Linked DNA regions of Struthio camelus. The protein of the gene in region 2 purifies or fractionates together with the protein of the main gene of each other region. This does not show direct contact. Links are inferred from orthologs where the notes say so. Each region holds a gene or a part of one and is shown on either strand. Other genes may lie near its edges. The genes, in order: AGO3, DICER1 and AGO1.

Region 1 (7,345 bases), on a different chromosome or scaffold from region 2:
GGAGCAAAGCAGGGGCAGAGCAGTCAAAACCCCCGTTCACACGTAGCGGCTGTGTGGCTCGGCGGTGTCAGCCCGCCGTCTCGCTGGAAATTCCAGTGAGGACCATGCAGAGCATGAAACCAAGATGTGGCCACCACCGTGGAAGTCCTTTTTGGTCTTTGCTCTCTTCTCTCACTGTCTGGGAGCTCGGGGACGGCTCGGGCCTGCTGTCAGCTGTGGGTGTTCGAAGGCCAGGAATGTCCCACGTCCCCTCCGTCCTCCTTATTGTAACTCGTGGGCCTGGCTCACCTCTGTCACTGCAGGTCGTGGGCAGCATGGATGCCCACCCCAGCCGGTACTGTGCCACGGTGCGCGTGCAGCGTCCTCGCCAGGAAATCATCGAGGACTTGTCCTACATGGTGAGGGAGCTTCTCATCCAGTTCTACAAATCCACTCGCTTCAAACCTACCAGGATCATCTTCTACCGCGACGGCGTTCCCGAGGGGCAGCTCCCGCAGGTGAGGAACCCCTGGGCGCCGTGCTGGGCCGGCAGAGCCGACCTGCCTCTGGCTAGAGGGAAGGGGCTTTAAGGCCTGGGTTTGCCTTGCTGGCATTTGTGCTGTTTGAGGTTGTTGGGTTTGCTGAAAGGCTTTGTGCACACTGGAGGCATTGGGCTAATTCTGCTGGCGGGAGCTGGGCCAAAGGCTTGCAACTCTGGGGGTGCTGGGCATCTGGGAGTCCACTCGGGATGTGCAGGGCAGCCTGCGGCCACCAAGCAGCTTGGGACAACGGGTGTTTTGCTCTCCTCTTTTTCCACTTGTGTTTGGGTATAGACCGTGCCGAGGCAGCTTTTCCAGGAGGGCTCGCAGGGGAGAGGATTAGGTCTCTTGCTCCTGCCACTGCCTAAACCTGCGTCGGCTCCTGCGGGTGCCCTACGGGTGCATGAGAGCAGCTGGGCGTGGGAGCCAGCCCGTGCGTTGCCTCACTCTGCGCGCGGTTGTGTCTCTAGATCCTTCACTATGAGCTCTTGGCAATCCGAGACGCCTGCATCAAACTGGAAAAGGATTACCAGCCTGGCATCACTTACATCGTTGTCCAGAAAAGGCATCACACCCGCCTCTTCTGCGCGGACAAGAACGAGCGGGTGAGCGCTGCGGAGCGCCGGGGGCCGGCGGTGTCCGATTCGTCGCTGGCATTAACGCAGAGCCAGCCCGGAGCTGCGCAGGGTGGAAAGCGCCCTGCTGGCAGGCAGAGCCCTCTTCCCTGCCTGAAACACGCTGCTAAGCTGACTCTTGCATCTGTGCCGATTAGGCTGCTTCAAGAAATCCAGGCAGCTGTTTGCTGTTGTTATGAGTTACTGGGTGCAGATGATCCTGGTGACTCTCTTGAAACGGCCTCTGTCAGCTTGAAAACATCTGTTGTTTTGGTGATTGCTGTAGCTGCTGACATTGGGGCAGGAGGAATAACCCCATGCTTGCTCACAGCTTGTTCACATCTTGTGCTGTGCAAGCAGAAGTCCAAAAAACAGGACTTGCGGTGGGCTGTTCTGCCTTGCAGGTGTATATGCTATTGAGGGCGTGAATCGAGCAATTGTGAGTTTGGGAGGAGAGTGTTACCTGTGCAACAAAAGCACCGAGTAACTCATTGATTGCTATAACTTTTCCTAGATTTGATCTAAATTTAATTTTGATCTAATCTGACCAGACTCTGCCTCTACCTGATCATGAGGATTTAACCTTGGGACTGAGAACAGGTTTTGATCTTGGCATAAGAGCCGTGATACCTTACGGCAGAAGCTCTAGCGTAAACTGTCTGCAGAGATCCCTGGACTTTTTGCCCACTTAATCGTCGTTCCTGCAGCAGGATGGGCCGGTGCCCAGCCTTCAGCCTGCCTGCTTCCCCTTAGCTGTAGGTTGCTCTGTTTGAGTGTCGTGCCTGGTGTTGATGCTGGCAGGAAATGCCAGCAAGCCTGTTTGGGCAGAGGGCAGAGCAGGGAGAGGTGCTTCTGCTCCCCACTTAATAGGCGCTTGTGGAACTGCTCGGCACGGTGCTCCCAAACTGGAAATAACCCAACACTGTGGTGCTTGGATCTCTTTTTATTCCCTGCAGATTGGGAAGAGTGGGAACATCCCAGCGGGAACAACAGTAGATACAAATATCACCCACCCTTTTGAGTTTGACTTCTACCTGTGCAGTCATGCAGGCATTCAGGTACCGTGCTCCAAGCTGATGTTGTGATCCTGCCGTTTTTCCTCTGTTGTGGTTGTGAGCTGCGTTCTCGCACGTGAGACGGGGCCCTTCCTGCCGCCTCCCTTGGGGAAGGCGAAGGCTGGCCCTGGAGACGTGGGCAGCTCTGTCCGAGCGGCCGTTGCAGCGCCTGGGGGAGCAGGTGCCAGGATGGCACAGCCGCTGCGGTACATGGCACCTACTTACTCTCCCTCCTGGAGCCGAGGATCTCTTGGAGAATTTCCTCCTTTGGAGAGGCCAAATCAGCAGCTTGTCAGCTGGCGTCTCGTGCTGGGCTCGCGGTGCTCCTGCTCGTCAGACGGGATCCGTGGTCTGGCTGCGGGTGGAGAGTTGGGGACAGCCGGCCGGAGCAGGCGGGTTGCTTTGCAGCTGCCTTCCTTCAGGCAGCCAAGATTAGTCAGAAGCTGCACTGAAAAAAATTGTGGCTTGAATCACTTGATTTATAGCTGCTTCCGCAAGGGAGGCTTTTTGGCTTCCTCTCTGCCTGCAAGGACAGCGCGGAGCTGGCCCGGTTCAGGGGGAGCCGCGGGGGAGCCCGGCTCGGTGCAGCAGGGAGGCGGTGCGCTGCGCCGGTCGGCAGGTCGCTGCTGCTCGCTCCCCGGGGCGTCTGGCAACGGGGCGGCTGGGCAGCTGCTTTAGCGCTGGTTTGCACCTCGGTGCAAAGTGCTTTTTCCTGTCTTGCGGTGCCCTTGGCTTAGGGAAGGGCAGGATAGAGCGTGGAAATGAGAGGCAGATGGATGGGGTGAACCGACCTCACCTCGGGGAGGGGGCGACGTCTCCTGCGGGCCCCTCTCCCGCACAGCGCTTGCGGCCGCCTCGTGTTTGGGCGCGGGCAGCACCTCCCACACCGCCCGCTCTCCTCCCCAGGGCACGAGCCGGCCGTCCCACTACTACGTCCTCTGGGATGACAACCGGTTCACCGCGGATGAGCTGCAGATCCTCACCTACCAGCTGTGCCATACCTACGTGCGCTGCACCCGCTCGGTCTCCATCCCAGCGCCGGCCTACTACGCTCGGCTGGTGGCGTTCAGGGCCCGCTACCACCTCGTGGACAAGGAGCACGACAGGTGAGCGGCCACGCGCGTCCCCGGAGCAGGGACCGCAGGGGTGACCAGCCAGTGAGCGGCACCCTGCTTCTGTGTCTGAACGCGGCTGGATGGGAGCAGCTTTGCTGCAGAGCCGTTCCTGGGGAGACTCGCGCGTAGCCATGTCCTCGTAGGGCTCAGCCCGGCAGGAGCGGGGATAAAGGGGGCTAATACCCCGTCCTGGGCTCGCCCAGGCCCTGCAGTGACCACCTCGGGGTGTTTGAGCGTTGCTAGCCTCCTCGGGATGCCGGCATCTCTGCCATGCTGGGCACGGTTCCCAGCGCACCTAGCATGCTGGTGCTCGGGGACAGCCGCGTGCCACCATCCTTCTCCCCAGCGGCGTCAATAAGCCAGGAAGAGGTGAGCGATCGCCAGGCCCCAGCGCCACAGCGTGGGGGTCTCGCATCCCCCACGGTGGCTGGTGGGCTGGGTCCGTTGGTCGGGAGCTGCCGTGAGGTGACTGTGGGGGCTCGCCTTGACCTTGGTGCAAGGCAGAGGTGCAGATGGCATCCAGCATCCTGGTCCCTGACCTGCGCGGGGATTTCCCAACGTTCCTACGGGGAAAGCCTTAAATAATTACGCAGTGATTTTCTTGCGCTTTCAGCGGCGAGGGCAGCCATATATCTGGACAGAGCAACGGCAGAGACCCCCAAGCCTTGGCGAAGGCTGTGCAGGTTCATCAGGACACTTTACGTACCATGTACTTTGCTTGAAAGCCTAACTTTTGTTACCTCACTCAAGAAAGCTTTCAGATTTGTAGGAGCCATACAAAAAAGGAAGCATTGGGACACCTTGTTTTTTTTCCAATGAGAAATCACTGCAGGGCAGGCAGCGTCGATTTGAGGCAGGAGACCAGCACCACGGGACAGAAAGATCCAACACCTTTGTAGGATTGGAAGAGACTGATTATTTTTTTAATTTTTCTGGCTTTGCAAAATTTTGACCTGACCAAACACGTGAAGGCATTTAAGGAAGGGATAAAACTTCCAGGAGGCAGAAGCAGGTTTTCATTTTTAAGATGCAATACTATAGACTCCTGACTGTGAAATGGCGGATTTGGTCCTCCGTTGCCCACCAGGCGCTGGTAGGTATTTTTTGTGGGGTTGGGGGGAGGGGATTTTTAGAGCCTTAAAACAGAAGACTAGATTTATAAAACTAATATTTTAGAATATGAGATGCTTTAATGGGTTAAGGGGAAAAACAACTAGTTTATAGGAGAATTCTAACACTAACAGTTCCCCCCCAAATAATTCCCCCCCATATAATGTAAGGCACCCTAGCACTTAGCTCAGAACTGAAAACTGTCTTCCTTGTGTTAAAAGCTAGTTAGCTGCTGCCATTCGAAGCAACAGTCACAGACTTTTCCATGGGTGAGTGCCTTACTATGATGCTGCAAAATTTCAATGTTTTTAATCTTGTAAGGAAAATAGTAACCTTGTCTTGATGGTGGTCCATATTTCCATCGGAAGGAGTTAATTTTTATGGTCCTAAGTTGCAGTTTGTGTTAGATCACAACCTCACGGTGGTTGAACTCCATTGAAAGATGTGCACTTTCATATAGGACAAGTTTAATGGCTGCTGACCCATTTTTGTTTCCAATGTACTACTTGTTATTTAAAACTGTTTCTGACAAATGGGGGCATCTTCACCCCATGAGGACAGAAATTGCTATCGATTATTTTTTTTCTGACTTTCTATGATGGACACCGGGATTTTTTTACTAAACATTATTTTTATATGATACTGAGTCTGTTGCCAAAATACACAAGTCATTAACATTCTCAGAGTTTACATCACTGCACTTCCTGAGGCTGTGCGCTCCCGCCAGAGATCTCTAACGTTTCCTGTCCGATGCGTGCGTTACAAACTGCAGTCCACGCAGCTTTGGGGTATTCCTCAATGCCCTCGTCTCCCATGCGTCATGTGCGTTCCTCACGTGTCCGTATGGGCTGACCGCTTTCTGAACTACCACGTACCCCGACTTCAGCATGTCCAAACTGTCATAGATTCTGCTGCTAGGTTTTGCTGCTCTTTTGTGTCATGGTATCACTGATTTCATGCACAGGGTTTTTATTCTGAAAGCACACCAGATTATTCCTTAGTCAGACTTACGAAATACTTGTTATTGTCCTGGGGGAAACTCCTACTAATTTTTGTTTGTAATGGGGAAAAAGCCTTTTTTTTCCAACAGTAAAACAGTGACTGTTTTTTGGACTCATTTTGCTGTACAGAATGACCATTCTGCACAGCAGGGCAGTAGTAGCAACTCCTTACCAATAGCGTGTGGGCAGATTATCTGATTTTTGTTGATATGAAAATGTGCACAAAGCTTCCTTCGAGAGAAAGAGTTACGTGTACACTGCTACTGAGCTCTTAAGGGGAAGAGCTCTGTTATCAATTTACTGCCAAAAGTGAACGCATTTTCAAAGCCTATCACAAGCACTGCCCTTTGTCAGCATGCATTGATAAAGCACGCCTTTTTATTTTGTCCTTTCTGATGTTTAAACTTGCCTTGCTAGTAGTTCATAAAAGCATTAGTCATGTTGACCCATTGCTCTGTCCTAATACCAAGAATTCAGTGTACTGGTTTTCTTTTGGGGCAACACGTTTGTGAAAAATGAAGACATCAATATGCTATGCAAACTAAGTGCTGAGCCCACTGATGTCACGTTTTGTGAAGATCCTACATTTAGCACAGTTGTATTTTTCTCAAGACTACAGTATTTGGCTCATGTTCTCCTTTGCACCTTGTGTCAAACTCCACTGCTGTATACCTACAAGGTGATGGGGAGAAAGCCAAGAACCATTCATGGTCAGTAGGGTAGTGAGCTCTTAAGGGGGCTTTTAGAGAGTAGGGAATGAGTGAACACTAAGTGTCAACATGAGACGCCTACATTCCTATACACAAGTGCCTGCATAGTGACACAAATTCAGCACCTCTCCCATTTCATCCTCAGAACTCTGGCTTGTGTTCATTGAAAGCGAAATGATCTCAGAGGGGCTATACCCACCCACCTTGTATTAGGAAGCCCCTCACTGAGAATAAAACTGGGGGGTTATGGTCAAGGTTCTCTCTGCAAATCAGTTTGTTCACCAGCATTATGACCGAAAGCACCTTGCTGCTCTTTGGCAGCTAAGGGCAAAGGTATTTTGATTTCTACTTTTTATTTTAACGTTTTAGTTGGGTCTAGAATTCTGAAATGTCTTTTAGTAGCTGTGGCATAGCACATGCCATTTTTAGCCATTTGAAAAGAGATAGCGTGGGCATTTACAGAAACAGCTTGTTGCTCTGTAACAATTTTTTTTTTAACCTTGAGACTTGAAATGTAAAATGGACCTTTAAGATTTGCACTCATTTGTAAGGTGGCTGTTCATAGAAAACTATGAATGAAGACTTGCTGATGTAGCACCTACTTTTAACAGCAATTTTAACTACACAAAAGCTTCATGGCTTCTGAAACTCTCAGCTGTTGACTTGCAGATCGTGTTCTGCCCTTACTTCACCCTCTGCATTGGGTTTTTCATGGTTTTAAAGAAATAAATAAGCCAAACTCAGCTGCTGTGCCCTTTAAACCATATTTCCATTTTGAAGAGGTTTTAGAAAGGGTTCGAGTTACCCGCATGTTTTGTATAATGGACTATGCACTGTACCTTCCACACGGCTCCAGCATTCAGTATTTCTACCCTTTTCTTGTCCAAGATGCAAATGAGTAATTGCATGTTGAGGTGCTGTGCGTTTTGCTACCCATAGCAGATAGGTGTTAACCTGTATACATATCACGATTTGTAATTAGCCACAAACCCCACACAGTCATCCTGAATGGCTCCCGAGTCTCTACCTTCTAAATGCGCACGTGTCCGTTGTGCAACTGGAAAAACTGCCGAGTGCATGCAGATTTGTGGGAAGAGGAATAACTTTCATTTATCTGTCAATTGTTGAATGCTGTTTGTTTCCCTTATCTCATATCTGAACATAACAGGGTGCATGAGGGCAGAACAGCCCTCAGGAGAGCTTAGTGGGAAGGCAGTCGGAG
Region 2 (6,958 bases):
ATTAATTTGAAAAGGTAAAAGAGCAGTTTGAAGAGGTCAAAAAGACACTAAAGCAATTAAAAATGTTAAAGTTTCTCTTGCAGTAGGGAAAATACCCTTATTTAGAGTTATGAAGTCTGGGTCATTGAAGTGTGAAAGCACTAAGGAAAAAGATTGCAAATAGCATCTTAGAGGGGACCAAAACTTTGTGCAAACCTCACACCTTTTTAAAATCTCAGCTCCAATTTTAGGAATGGATTCAGTTCAAATATAGGTTCTTGCTTTCTTTCAACTTCCTCCTCCATAGTCACACCTGCATCTTTTTCTCATAATACATTACATATGTTACTATTAGCAGTGTAGCCACACTTAATGTTTGTAACTGTCTCTTTTCTGCAGTGGTTCACAACTATGAACTAAAAAACCTGGTAGCCAGACAAGAGACTGGCTGAGAGGAAAGTCTCAAGTTAAATTTTCTGAAGGTGGGTGCAGAATAGTCACATCCTTTCCTATCCAGAAACTTGCTTACAACACTCTGGCCTGCAGTTGTTTCTGGATAACTGTCAGCTTATTTCAAAGTATATTATTGAAATAGTGTATGATATAGGGACAAAACAGCATCACGGCTGGTACCAGCAACAGAGAACAACAGAGGTCACCATTAACTTGCAAGAAGAATTATCTTCAGAATCCATTTTAGAATTTGAGAAGATAAATCAAATCAAAAAGCACAAAGCCTATTTTCTGCTGGCATAATTTCAAAATTCTATAGCATGCACAAGGCTAATTACTGAGTTTTGCAGAAACTGCATTTTTGCTTTTTTCTAACCTAAACACAAAGGTTTTTTTTTTTCTTACCCAATACGAAAAAAATAGAAACAAAACATACATTTTTGGAAAGGGGAAGGGAGAGAAATGTTTCTGTTTTCCTGTTGTTGTCTTACAACAGTTATCTCATTATCAGTATTTCCAGTTCTAAAGAAATGGAGAAAGCTATAATTTGGTGAATTATTCATTTATGCTGTTCTGGATTTTAATTAGCTGAGCTATTCAATTCCTTTCCCCCAATGGCCTGTTTGTTTTTAATCAAACATTGAATGTCAAGTAGTTGGAAATATGTGGGATTTTTAGAATTTTGTATTGCATTGATGAATTCAGCTTAATTTTCTTTACAAATCTTTTAAAGACATTTGTGAAATCAACATAAAAATCAATTTTTGATTTGGGGTTAAACTCTGACAGCTAGCTGTCACAATACAAGCATATGACATAAAATATCCATTCCTTACAAAGGAGAGAAGCTAGAGGTGATGGAATAACAAAGTACCGCACAAAGTTGATCCTAACTGTGCTTTTAAATCACAAACTCCTGTCAGCAGGCTTAAGGAGGAAGTAGCTGTGGAGAAAGACATCCTTTTCTTTATACAAAAATAACTTCCAGAATTCTTTTGGCATTTATATGCATTGTTTTCTGTGTTTTAAGAATTCTGCTTGCCTTCTCTTTGAATTGGATAAAATTGGATAAAATTCATTATTTAACCATGGCCTGCAAAGGATTGAAGAGAGTTTCCTTCTGCTCTATTTTACATTAGAAATAATCAAGAATGCTAATTTTCTTCAGTACTTCAGCTAAAATTGGAAAAATAGACACGTGTTCTGACAGCTCCCACTGGATAAGACTTAACAGCTGCTCCTCTTCTTAAGGTTTTATCATGGGATAGAATTAGTCTTCCATCCATAAAAACAGAAGGATACCCTTTGCATGCTACAAAAATACTTAATACTTCAATATTTAATAACATTAGCATTCCAGAAGAAGAGTTCTAAATGGCGACAGAGGTTTTAACCAAGTAAAGAAAGCACTTAATTTGATAATACTCTAGGCCTCCAAATCACTTTTCTCCCCAAATCATTTTACTAGAGTTTAAACCGTATAGTGCTCCAGTCAACTTTACCTTCTCAAACTGATTTTGTAGGCACACATAGTTGCATTATGCAAGGCAGTAAATCCCTGGTTGAGTGGGAATGGAATGAAGAAGGCTGCATCTCCAGTGCCAGATCTTCCACTGCATGTGCATAAAGTTTAGCACAACTTAAAAGGAGAGTGGTTAGCCAGAGGCAGCTTTTTATTAAATTTATGATCTTATTATAATCTGTTATGGAACAAGGAGGATCTCCAATCCCTGTGTAAGTAAATGTGATCTTACGATAGTCCTAACTTGCCTGCCTGGACTACCACAAACGTAACTTGTGCTATACTTGCACACCTGAAACAGCTTGCAGTGTTTTGCAGGGCCAACAGGATCAGTGAAATACAGTATACAACCAAATTTATCCACTGAGGAGACGAGGTGCCAGGAGCAGGCAAAACAGAGCCAGGTATGTAAATTTACATTATTTAAAGATTTCCTCGCACAAGAACGACCACATTGCCCACATGTGGCTAAATCTTTACATTGTTGGTGTAGTGATGTATGAGTAGTCCACAGACTTGACTGTTCGTTGGCACTATGGGCAGGTTTGTAGTCTTGTTCTTCTGAGCTTTAAGTGTATTGCTCTCATTACTATGGTAAAGTATACTTGATGTGGAAAACACATTTTTCTCTGCACAGACAGCATAAAAATTACTTCAAAGTAATGGTGCTTTTGGATATGTGTGGATATGAGTGAAGGACATGGAGAAAAAGTTAAGTAGGAAAACTGAATTAACAGTACAGATTTGCACTGCTTACATCCATCTTGTAGCACAGTTGGTCAGCGATTTCATTTGTTTTCTGGTTATACTGCAGCCCAATTCATACTTTAGATTTGTTCAAAGCTCTTTCATTGTCTTGCAAGTTTCACCTCAGTTTTTCCAGGGCACAGCTTCCAGATTTTGATATCAATGGCGTCACAGAAATAAAAGGTGGAAAATGGTAGTATGTGAAGTACCAGAAAAATTGTGTTCTGCTAATGTTTCAGCACCATACTTTTCCCTTATCTTGGGTTCTTCATCTGTGGGCACAGGTTTTTGACACTGGAGAAACAGTTACCCCGCATCAACTGTCTGTTTAACCCAAGGGATTTCAGGTTTTTTTTTTTTTTCTTAACGTAGTAGTAGTAGTTAGTAAAGTCACTTAAGCAAGTAAATGTTGACAAGAAACTGGAATGAGGCCCGTGGTTCAGCTAGCTGATACTCTGCCTCAAGCAATTGCAAAAGGAAGTGCTGTTCAGGGAGTACAAGAACCTCGCCACTGCCTGTGGTCCTTTCTTCTTCCACTGTCATTGACTTTGTGATGTTCGGAGGTATCTATCTCCCTAACTTTCCTTCTCTTTGGTATCTGTTTATGGACAGTATCAATCTATTCTTTCTTGAACCACTGATACTATTTGTCCTGTGGTGGCAATGGCTTCCAAGACCTTTCACTTTTATTGCTGCGAAACATTCATTTTTGACACCGTGATGAGAGAGACCTGTTCAACTTTCCTTTGTAAGGATGTAAATCTCCTTGCAGTCATAAACACAGTTCACCAGCTGGATGAGATCGCACAGCAGCTCTGTTCTGCCAGCTTCGACGAGCAGCAGTGAGCAGAGGTGGCTGCTGACCAGTAGCAGCCAGACCCACATCCATCTTGTCTGGGGCTAGCGCCAGCAAGAGCCGAGGGCGCTAGCTCCATGGTGGAAGAGCGGCTCTTTTCCTTTGGCAGGGAGGATACTCCTCAGAGAAATGACTGCCTCTGCGTAAGGAAAAAGTGGGATATAGCAACAGAGTAGCGAGGGAGGCCCAGATTCTGCTCGCCCTGAGCAGCCCTGCCTCAGCGGCAAGAAAAACTCCCTGGAGGCGGCCTCGCCGTCCCCACAGCCCGCACCAGCCTGGGGAGCCTCACCCCCTCCCAACATGGCGGGTGCTGCCTCGCCTCAGCCGAACGGCCGCCACCGCCTCTCGCGCGCGAGCCCCGCCCAAGCGCGTGCGCGGGGGGGGGGGGGGGGAGGCGGAACGAGACACGGCACCGGCGGCTCGGCGCCTCGCGCTCCTCCGGCCGGGGGAGGGGAGAGGGCACACACGTGAGCCCCTGGACCACCCCGCATCTCCTCAACCGCTGCTGTATCTCGCCATCTCATTGGCTAGCCTGTGAACCTTTCACCTTTTACCCAGCTGTTGCCGCCAATCGCCTGGCTCCTTTCATGCTGCGGGGATGTGGAGCGTGTGAGCTGCGCAGGGTGACATTCTCGGAGCGGGCTTGCGTTGCGGGCGTTGGGCGGCCCCTGTTGGTATGGGCGGGAGGGGTGGGGAGGTGCTCCGTTTGCGTAGGGCCGGCAGCGCAGGGGGAAGGGAGGGGGAGGAGGCTATCCCGGGCCCAGGTGAATGGAGGAACCTGACAGTTGGGGGGAGCGAGGAGGCGGCGGCGGGGAAATGGCGGCGGCGGCAGCAACACAATGAGACGCGGCCTGTAGTGGGGGGAAGCGCCGGGCTGGGTCCCGTCCGAGCAGGTAGGAGATGGCGGCCCAGGCGCGCCTGCCCTCGCCGCGGCGGCTGCATGGCGGCCGGGCACGGGTGCCGGAGCCCAGCGCCCGCGCCGGCCCGCGCTCTCCCCCGCCGCGGCCGCGCCGCGCCGCCGGGGGGTGGAATGGCGGCGGGCGCTGCCTCCCCGCCCTCCGGCCGCTGGCCCCGGTTAGTCCTGCCCCGCCTCCGTCCCAGCCGCCGTCCCCGCGGGCGCCCCGCTGCTCCGGCCGCCGCCAGCACCGACCTCCGCCATCGACCCCAGCAACTTCCCGCCGCCGGCAGGGCCCGGGCCCCGCGCGTCGGGTGGCGGCAGGGCCCGGCCGGCGCCGCCGCCGCGCTCCGGCCCCTCTCGGCCGGCTTTGTCTCGTCGCTGCGCGCCCCGCGGGCAGCCGCGCTCGGGGCCTGCCGCCGTGCGCGCTTGAGGGCCCGCGCTCTGCCCTCTCCGGGCTGCGGCTTCCCGGAGCGGTTGTGCCGTGTTGCGTGGCGGGGGTTGGGGCGAGGAGTGCAGGGCAGCAAACGTGTTTCCACTCTTCGGTGCTACGGTTAAGGAGTTATATGAAATTCTTAGCTCTCTGCTTTTCTTTTTCTTTTTTCTTTTTTTCCTCCATCCTCGTCCAATTTAAGTGAGGACTGTCCGCATAGAGCGGCAACGCAGTGGCAACGTGGTTAGGGCATACCTTATACTGTGTGATCTTAGGCTGAAAAGACAAAAGATGAAAAAGCAAATATTTTTTGTAATAGGATTTAATACTAGTGAGATAATAGATAATGTAGAAAATCCTCAATAGATAGAAAAAGGATTGTAGCAATGACATTTTGAAATATTCTTTGTTTATTTATAGAAATGACTGTTTCCAAAATATAAGTGACTGATGCAATTGTCTTCAACTGCTAAAAGTCTGGAGGATGCTTGGCGCCTCAGATAATGAGTTATGAGTATTCTTGGTGTTAGGATACTGAGCTTCAAGATATGCAGTGCCTCGCCTGATGAAAGCATGTAGGTTGGAAGGTGGTTGCCACTCTCAAAGAAACAAGACAAAGGGCGAATCAAATCAGAATTAACTTTGCAGAAACTTGGTTTACGCTGTTTTACTGTGTTTGAAGGGCTTTTTGATTTACAGACCATTTCGGATGCCCAGCTGAAGTGCAAACAGCATACATGTTTTTTATTGAGATAGATGTGAGGGTTTCCTTGTGGGTGTGGGTGGGTTTTTTGTGTTAAGTTGATACAGATGCAAACTGGAATTGATTTCTATTAAGCCAGAATTATTGTCCTAAATCCTTAAGAGGGACTTTCCTGTTGTCTGTCTTTACAAGATACGTTGTAATCTGTATAACTATATAAAAGGCTTGAAGATGCTACTAGAAGTTTTCAGCTGGAAGGGGCGTGCACATGTATGATCTCCCAATTGTTTCGTCATTGTTCTTAATCCATAGGATTTAAAAATGTGTATGTATTTGTTCAGACTCTGAATTAGCTACTGCTGTTTAGGAAAGTATCTTGATCTGATAGAGTTCAATGAAAATGGCAGCTCAGTACTCATCAGTAAAAAGAAAATAATGTTAGAATTTACAAATAATTGACAATCAAATGGCATCAGTATGCTATTGTGCAAGTCCATGCTGGACCCTTACTTTTAACACTGCATGCAGTTTGGGTGTATCTTTCTTCCATATGCCAAAGGTTATGTTAGACTAAGAAAAGGTAGAGAGAAAGCTGACTAGGTGGCTTAAGTACTAGAAATTTGTAGCCAGTTGAGATGCCAGAAGAGGAATAAGAGAGATGTCTATGCAATATAGTTGTGAAAAAAGCAAGTTAGGAGCAGTTGTTAGGGTTTCCCTCCCCTCCGCTTCTTTGAGGTTTCTGTAGTTGACAGATTCAAATCAAACAAAAGACAATCTTTCACATTCTGTTTAGCTAGAATACCTGCTTCAACAGCACATTGGGAATGCCAAAACCTTACATAGAGGTCAAAATAATTGGTTTGTAAAGAAAAAAATTCATCGGAGACTGTCAAGCACAAAGACTTAGAAAATGTCAAGGTGACTGGTCAGTGGAAAGTAGTACTGCTTGCCTAGCTATTACGTTCCTTCCTACGTGTCCTCCACTGGTCACCAGTAGAGGGAAGCCAACAAGCTAGAAAGATATTTTGTCCGACACAATGTTATTCTAATGTTTTAACATAAATTACACTGATTGATTGAGAAATGCCTTGAAGAGTTGTAGCTTAAAGATTAACAACAACAAAAAGGCTGAACCTGTAACTCAAAACACTGTTCCCTTGGTTTTTTTGTATATTCCCTAGATCTTTCTCATTTCCCATTCCAAAAATTAGTAAGGGCTTTTTCACATTCTTCAGGAAAGTTCATAGGTGGTGCAAAGTTGCTTTAGCATACCTTATTACAGAAACTGAGTATCACTGCTTCACCCATGTTGCCTTTCAGTATGAACTGGGTAAACTTGTATCTCTCTGTAACCAAATGCAAGTTACTGG
Region 3 (7,545 bases), on a different chromosome or scaffold from region 2:
TAGCTAACACCATTACTTTGGTAACAAAAGTGTGAGAAGTCCAACGATTGCACTGTGGTCTCTGATACTAGTGTGGGGTTTGCTGCTAAGTTGTCTGCTGTTCCAAAGCTTAGGAACCAGCCCCCTCAAAATTTCAGCAATATGAAATGCTGTTTCCTTCAGTCTTTAAGCTTGTAAATAAATTAAAGTTTACATTTCTAAATGCTGTTTTTCAGTTGTACCAGAGTACACTGAACTTAGTCTTCAAGCAGTTTTATAACCTTCTTTCAAGTAGTATGTCTCATTAAATTAAGTTTAAACTTTTTTTTCTTTTCTGTTGAAAATGGGACTGAAGCAAACTTTGCTCCTGGCACGTATTGTGGACAGGTTTAGATTGAAAACAAAATTCTTTTTAGTTTTTTTAATTTTTTTTAAAGAATACCTCACTTGTGTAATAAAATCAGGACATGTGGGTGGGAGACTGACCGCTGCTTCAGCTAGATGGCTGCTTTTCTCAGTACTCATTCAGGGAGAATACAAAAAACCCCTTTTCAGAATGAACTCCGACTGACCCGACGTATATGGAGAACTTTGGCACCTTTAAGAGAAATTGAGCACCCTTCTTAGATTATAGAATCAAAGATCATTGCTTGGGTTTGTGCACTAGGCAAGAATGTAACTGGTTTAATCAAGGGTGCATAAGAAATACTTAGTTGTATCACCAGTTAGTTGTCCAGTGCCAAGCACTCCTAGTTCAGATTGAGTGACGTGAGAGCCTCTCCTTCGTTTGCCTGTGATTGGACTGAATATTTGACCTCAGACTATACAGATTGTTAGACCTCAGCTAGCCCCGGGAAGCAGGGCGAGAAATTTAACTCAATCTTCACGTTAGAACGTTGTTGTAATGAAACACTGGTAAGGGTGCTGTGCTGTCACTTTGAGAGGAGAAGAGCATTAAGGTTAGGACTGTTGCTTGGTGGTAACTACGATCAAAGTTTCAGCAATACTGTTGTACGCAGGTCTGAAAGCCGAGTCTAGAGGTTGAGCCTGACGATCTGAATTAACCCCTTGGGACTGACTGAATCGTTATGCATGTGTCAATCAATGGGAAGATGTGCATTCTGTAGATGTAGTTCTTAGGGTGGTTTTTTTTGTTTTTGTTTTTTAATAAATAAAGCCTGTTGGCCACTGTTTAGCTATGTGGTGTGAAAGATTTTAAATGTAGCAAAGTTTTTAAAGAGTTGGGGAGGGCGTGGTTGACATTTCAAAAACAACAACAACAACAAAAATAGCAGAAACCCCGTTTTCAAACCAGTTCTGCTTGCTTTGTGAACAGCTGAATTCTGAACAAGCTCTGGAAATCACTAGTTAGCCTGTCACAAACGTTTGGACAGCCTGGCTTATTTATTCTTATTGTAAGTACTACAGTTCAGTTTAATGCCTGGAGAAGCATCCAAAGGGCATACAGGGTTGTGATATACAGGCAAACATGCTTCATGCAGTACATTATCTCGTTCCAGACACAAGTGTCAGAGCTCATTTACCTATATCACAAGCTTTGCTCTTCAAATGGGTAAAGGCAGCTTTTGTTCAGATACGGTGTTTGACAGAATCCACCCCCCCGCCCCAACCTACCTTCGTGGATGTGCTGTAGGATTTTTCTTGCTCAATAGCAAGGGAGTAACTCTGCTTTCATTTTAAGAAAGCAGAGTTTGGAGGGCATTGTATCAATACTGTTTCAACTACAAGGTTTTTTCCTTGTGAATTTGAGGAAAGATCTTGTAATATCACTTACAGATTTTCATATACCTTGCTATTGACATTTTCATATTTCTATGTCTAGAAGCTGAAACTTCAATGTAAAATGTTTGCATTTGTTCATTTTGACTTATGATGTAATTTTTGTTTCTATATTGTTAGACTTGTAATGTTTAAAATTGTATTTTATTAAATTTGGACTGGATGTATGTCTATAGCAATACGAGGTACTCTTTCTAAACTGTTATGGGTGGGTTAGCAGCCCCACGTTGCGATAAGATGCTGGTCGTGTACAATTTGCAATGTATTTTTTTTAGCCTGCAGGGATATTTTGTGTTCATGTGTCCAAAAATAAAAAAAAATGGCATTATTGTGCCAAATGTTGTTTTTCCTTGTTGATGTCTAATAAATGCAATGTACAGAGTGAGCAACTGATACTGTTGCCTGTAAACAAATGTCTTTCTTAAATTATTTAACTTTTAATTAAAACTCGTACACGATGTGTAACCTGTGGAACTCATTGCCACAAGATATTTATTTCTGATATGCTAGGACTTAGAAAGCAATAGAAATATACATGGATGACATCTTCAGTGACACTCAGAGGACTTAAAACTGCCTGTTTTCAGAGCCTGTGCTAACCACATAGAGATATGTTCACAATGGGCTTATTTTTTTAATGTTCCCAGAAATTATATAGCAATGTCTTGAGAAAATATGGTGTCAATAGACTGTATCTACCTGGAGTAGTGATTCTATATTAGAAAGTCAGAAACTAGTAAATGAAAGAGCTGTATGTTTATTCATCCTCTGAATTTCAGGTGAGGGTTCGTTTCCTCTTTTGTACGGCTATCTCCCTAAAAATACAGGATAAGGACAAAAAAGCTTTCGGACGAGGATAAAACATGCAAGCTACAAATGAGCTCAGGACACATGATTGCTTAAAATAACCTGCATCTTTAGCAAATCAGTACTTTTGGGTTTTAATATTTTTTTTGCAGTAGAAATCCTGTGGGTTTGGGAATTGAGATTATTCAGCTTCAGGCAAGCTTAAGTAGTTCAGAAGCAAAAGCTAACTTTGATGCCAGTGCCTTTCCAAAATGATTCAAAGGGGAAGATCACTTGGATCAAACTGAAGAACCCTGGGGCTGCTCATGTTTTGGAGCTCCAAAGTACTTTAAAGTAAACATGTGCCTTAACCTGGAAGGAAACTCATCAGGGAATTGTCCAGCAGCCTAGAGAATGGATAATTAAAAGGCTGAGGGGCATTGGGTAGCAGAGGCTGCCTGCTCAACAGGGTAAAGGGCTTTTAGGCCTTTAGAGAGCATAACTGAAAGCAGCAATGTGGGAGGAAGGAGAAGAGAGGGGTGAGGAACTTGTTCCAGGGTTTGTCAGGTTCAGTAAAGCAACTTCACGGACAACCGACTTAACTGTTCGGCACGGTATCTTAACTAACGGTATTTTGATTCATGGTGTATCTTGATGTGTGTTCTGCTTCAGGACAGCAATTCTGCTCTCATAGTCTATACATCTCGTAGCGTGAACTGCATGCGAGCGCCATGTTGCGTTCCGCTCCACCGTAGGATCTGTGGATTCCACTATTTGGTGAGACCTGGTCTCAAATACACAGTTGAACATGGGTTGCTTCTGGCCCAGGCTTTTCCATCTCGTTTTGCTTGCTTTTAGGTGCAACAATACCACGAGAGGGGGCTCCAAACACGGCGCTCACCGGGCTGGAGACAACCGGGCACCCAACCCTGATCTTTTGCCAGCAAGGCTCTGGACAGAGAACCCTTAAAAGTAAATAAAAATTGAACACATCCCCTGCTGTTTTCTCCCCAATCTGGCAAGGAAAAAAAAAAAAAGCCTCAAAGAAACCAAACCAAAAAAGCTCAGCTGTAAAAGGCATCTCATCATAAACCCCCAAGGGAACTGTGACCATCTCAGCTCCTGTGAGCTGACAACACAGCAGGACATCAGTTATTAAAGCATTCATTTTGTTAATTGGTGGCTCTATAACTGAAGGCCGCCCGAGGAAAGCTCTCCGAGGCGTCCTGCTTCCAGCGCGGCCGCTCTCGTCCCCTCCTGGGGACGCGATGAAGCTGCGGCGCCCGCGCTCACGGTTTCGCTGGGGCCCCCCTGCCGCCTTCTCCGCGGTACATGCTGCGCTCTGCGAGCGCGCTGGTCTGGAGGAAGGGGGGAGACAGGGGGAAGGAGGTGGGAAGCCTCGGGGCCTTTCTCCTGGCCGAGCCGGTGAGCGGCGACGGTTTCTATCGCGTTGTCCCCGACGAGCCTGGAAACCTCGTGCTGCCCTCGAGTCCTCCGACGCTGGCCGCGGCGGGGGCCCCGCGGCCTCAGATACCGAGGAGAGGCGCCGGAGCCGTCGGCTTCGCGTTGTTCGCTCCTGCGGGAGCCGTTAAGATTTTGGAAAGAGACCGTCCAAAACGTGAGAAAAATCGTGACTCGGGTTGGTGGCATCTCTCCACCAACCCCCCCCAACCCCCCCCACGCGAGGCGCCGGCCGCCTTCCCGCCTCGCGGCGGGCCCAAGATGGCGGCGGGAGGGCGGCGGGCCGCGCTGCGCCGCGCCGCGCCGCCAGGGGCCGCCGGGGGCCGCCGGGCCGGGCGCGCCGCCTTTGTTGGGCGCGGGGCGGCGCGGCGCATGCGCGCTGGGGCGCAGGCGTGGAGGCGGCTGCGGCGGGCGGCGGTGCAGCAGCGGCCCCGGCCCCGGCCCGGCCCGGCCCGGCCCTGCCCGCGGCCCCCCCCCCCGCCCCCTCCCGGCCCCCCGGCGCGGAGCGGTGCGGAGCCCGCGTGGATGGGATGGAAGCGGGACCCTCGGGAGCAGGTAGCGGCGGGGGCTCCGCAGCGGGGGGCGACTGCAGGAGCGTGCGGGGGGGGGGTGTGCAATGGGGGGCGAGGGGTGCGCAGTGGGGGTCTGTAGCGGGGGGCGAGGGACGTGCAACGGGGGTCTGCGTTGGGAGGCGAGGGGTGTGCAATGGGGGTGTGCAGTGGAGGGCTATATTGGGGTGAGGTGTGTGCAATGGGGGTGTGCATTGGGGGCGGGGGGTGTGCAGTGGGGCTGTGTAATGGGGGTCTATACTGGGGTGAGGTGTGTGCAATGGGGATGTGCAATGGGGGTCTGCATTGGGGGGGCGAGGGGTGTGCAGTGGAGGTGTGCAATAGGGGTCTATATTGGGGTGAGGTGTGTGCAATGGGGATGTGCAATGGGGGTCTGCATTGGGGGGGCGAGGGGTGTGCAGTGGAGGTGTGCAATAGGGGTCTATATTGGGGTGAGGTGTGTGCAATGGGGATGTGCAATGGGGGTCTGCATTGGGGGGGCGAGGGGTGTGCAGTGGAGGTGTGCAATAGGGGTCTATATTGGGGTGAGGTGTGTGCAATGGGGGTGCTCATTGGGGGTCTGTATTGGGGGGGCGAGGGGTGTGCAGTGGAGGTGTGCAATAGGGGTCTATATTGGGGTGAGGTGTGTGCAATGGGGATGTGCAATGGGGGTCTGCATTGGGGGGGCGAGGGGTGTGCAGTGGAGGTGTGCAATAGGGGTCTATATTGGGGTGAGGTGTGTGCAATGGGGGTGCTCATTGGGGGTCTGCATTGGGGGGGCGAGGGGTGTGCAGTGGAGGTGTGCAATAGGGGTCTATATTGGGGTGAGGTGTGTGCAATGGGGGTGCTCATTGGGGGCGGGGGTGTGCAATGGGGATGTGCAGTGGGGGTCTGCATTGGGGGGGCGAGGGGTGTGCAATGGTGCTGTGCAGTGGGGGTGTGCATTGGGGGGCGAGGGGTGTGCAATGGGGGTCTGCATTGGGGGGGCAAGGGGTGTGCAGTGGGGGTCTGCATTGGGGTTGAGGGGTGTGTGATGGGGATGTGCAATAGGGAGCTGAGGAGCGTTGTGCAATAGGGGGTCTGCAGCAGAAGGGCAGGAGGTGCATATTAGGGGGACGAGAGGTGTGCGGTGGGGGGTGTGCGGTGGGGGGCGAGGGGTCTGCAGGGGTGAGGAGAGAGGTGTGCCTTGGAGGCCTGCATTGGGGGCGAGAGGGGCGCGCTGCGGGGCTGTGCGATGGGGGGGTGAGGAGTGTGCAGTGGGGAGCCCTGCAGTGGGGGTTGAGGGATGGGGTGTCCGGGGGGACCCTGCAGTGGGGTTGCCCCCCCCCCCCCCCAGAATCAGGGAGCTGTGCAGGGGGAACTGAGGGGGGTGCAATGTGGGGGTCAGGGCTGTGCAACGGGGGCAGTAGTGGGGGCCGTGCCGTGGGGTTGCACAGAGGGGCATTACGCAGTAGAGGGGGGAGAGGGGGGTCCCGGGGGGCGGGGGGCTGCGGTGTGGGCGCAGCGAGGGGGCAGCAGGTTTCCCCCTTCGGGCTCCTCCGGGGCGAAGAAAAGGGGCGCAGGCTCGGGATGCGCCACGCTGCTCCTTTTCCAAGGAGAGGCGGCATCCTCCTCCCTCCTCTTCCTCTCCTTGCCCGGCGCCGGGTCCGGCACGAAGCGGCTCCTCTGCTGTCGCCGCGGGGGGTTCGCCCCCCGCGCGCCCGGTTAAACGTGGGAGCTGCGGGCCGCGGATGGGCGCGCGGGGTCGTCGGGAGCCGCTCCTCGAAGCTGCGCCTGCCCGGCTGCCGTGTCGGCTGGCGCGGGGTTCGCAAACCGCTGCAGTTCGCGGAAGAGTTTTGCTGCCTGAGAACGGGGCCGGGAGCCGGGCAGAGGGGCGCGAGCGCCTCGGCCGGCTGCGGCGTCGCCCGGCGCGGCGCGGCTTCGCTGTAAAGCAGCTGCACGCCTGAAATCCAACTTTGATCCTTCTTCGGCGCAGTTCGCTTGAAGCGTAGCGGAGACGTCTTCGTGTCTGTGCAAACCGCTGGCAGCTAGAAGGGGACGTTCGGCGCTGATTTATTGGCCTTCTGCACGCGGTGATTTAGAGATTAGCGCGGGAGCGGGGGCTTTGCCAGCGGCTTGCTGCGCCTCCGCGGGCGAGATGGGGCTGCTCTGTGCCGCCGCCGGGAAAAGGCGGATAACGCCGCTGCCGTGCCTCGCGTGCTGGTGTCGCGGGGCTCGCGTCGTTCCGTGAAGGTGCTTTAGAAATGGGTCGGTGCTTTTAACAGTAGCTAACGCTTGTTTAAGCCGGGAGCGCGTCTGGCGGGGTGGTGCGCGGTGCCGGGGGCGCGGAGGGCTCCGGGCTGCGCTGGGAGCTCTGCGATGCTCTGCTCTTCAGAGCTGCCCTTTCGCCCCCTGCAACATCTTAACGTTAAGCCTGGTTCCCGAGCCTGGTGCTGGCGCGGAGACGGTGCCTCCCGACGGGACGGGACCGCCCGGCTCACCGTGCACGCGCGGAAAACCAACAAACCCCGCCGAGAAAGAGCAGCAGCGCCGGGAGCGCCTCTTCCCCCGCGGCGGGCGGCTGGAGGGCGCCGCGTCCCGACCGCGAGCCGAGCGCGCCTCGTGCCCGGTTTCCGCCGGCCGGCCGCGTGGCTGGGGCTGGGCGCCCGCCGGCTCCCTGGGGCGTCCGTCCCGCGTCGGCGCCGTGCCCCTGCCGCCGCCTCCCCGTCGGCGCGGCGGAGGGGAGCTGGGGGGCCCTGGGGCAGGAGCGTCTACACGCCTGGTGGTTTTCGAAGCTAAACCCGGTTTCTCCCCAACTTGCAGGTTTCTTTATCCCTTGCAAACTTCCTACGCGCTGTTAATCTTAACCGTTGTCTTCCTGTGCTAAACCCTGCAGAAAACCCGAAGCCGTTGTTTCTGCGGGATCTCTTTTATCTTCAGGAAACATGAAATCACATGTGCGCGTTTCTAGGACAGGATTATTCCAAGAAAC

Evidence for each region.
Region 1: the proteins of DICER1 (region 2) and AGO3 purify together in Homo sapiens (affinity purification with mass spectrometry; 3 studies listed by BioGRID and IntAct, with this or other methods). This does not show direct contact. The link is inferred for Struthio camelus from reciprocal best matches to the Homo sapiens genes DICER1 and AGO3.
Region 3: the proteins of DICER1 (region 2) and AGO1 purify together in Homo sapiens (co-immunoprecipitation; 7 studies listed by BioGRID and IntAct, with this or other methods). This does not show direct contact. The link is inferred for Struthio camelus from reciprocal best matches to the Homo sapiens genes DICER1 and AGO1.

What each region holds. Positions count from the first base shown.
Region 1 is NC_090964.1:10,064,939-10,072,283, forward strand, and holds the start of AGO3 (protein argonaute-3), read left to right. Parts: upstream 1-4,305; 5' UTR 4,306-4,358; coding exon 4,359-4,395; exon of another isoform or gene 4,396-7,345. Other genes in the region: AGO1 (protein argonaute-1), read left to right, coding at 303-497, 989-1,123, 2,089-2,190, 3,094-3,293, 3,916-4,024.
Region 2 is NC_090946.1:67,305,912-67,312,869, reverse strand, and holds the start of DICER1 (endoribonuclease Dicer), read left to right. Parts: upstream 1-3,941; 5' UTR 3,942-4,166; exon of another isoform or gene 4,167-4,231; intron 4,232-4,233; coding exon of another isoform or gene 4,234-5,010; intron 5,011-5,305; exon of another isoform or gene 5,306-5,460; intron 5,461-6,958. Other genes in the region: uncharacterized protein C10orf95-like, read left to right, coding at 4,234-5,010. UniProt on the Homo sapiens protein: Double-stranded RNA (dsRNA) endoribonuclease playing a central role in short dsRNA-mediated post-transcriptional gene silencing.
Region 3 is NC_090964.1:10,042,732-10,050,276, forward strand, and holds the start of AGO1 (protein argonaute-1), read left to right. Parts: upstream 1-4,502; 5' UTR 4,503-4,556; coding exon 4,557-4,581; intron 4,582-7,545.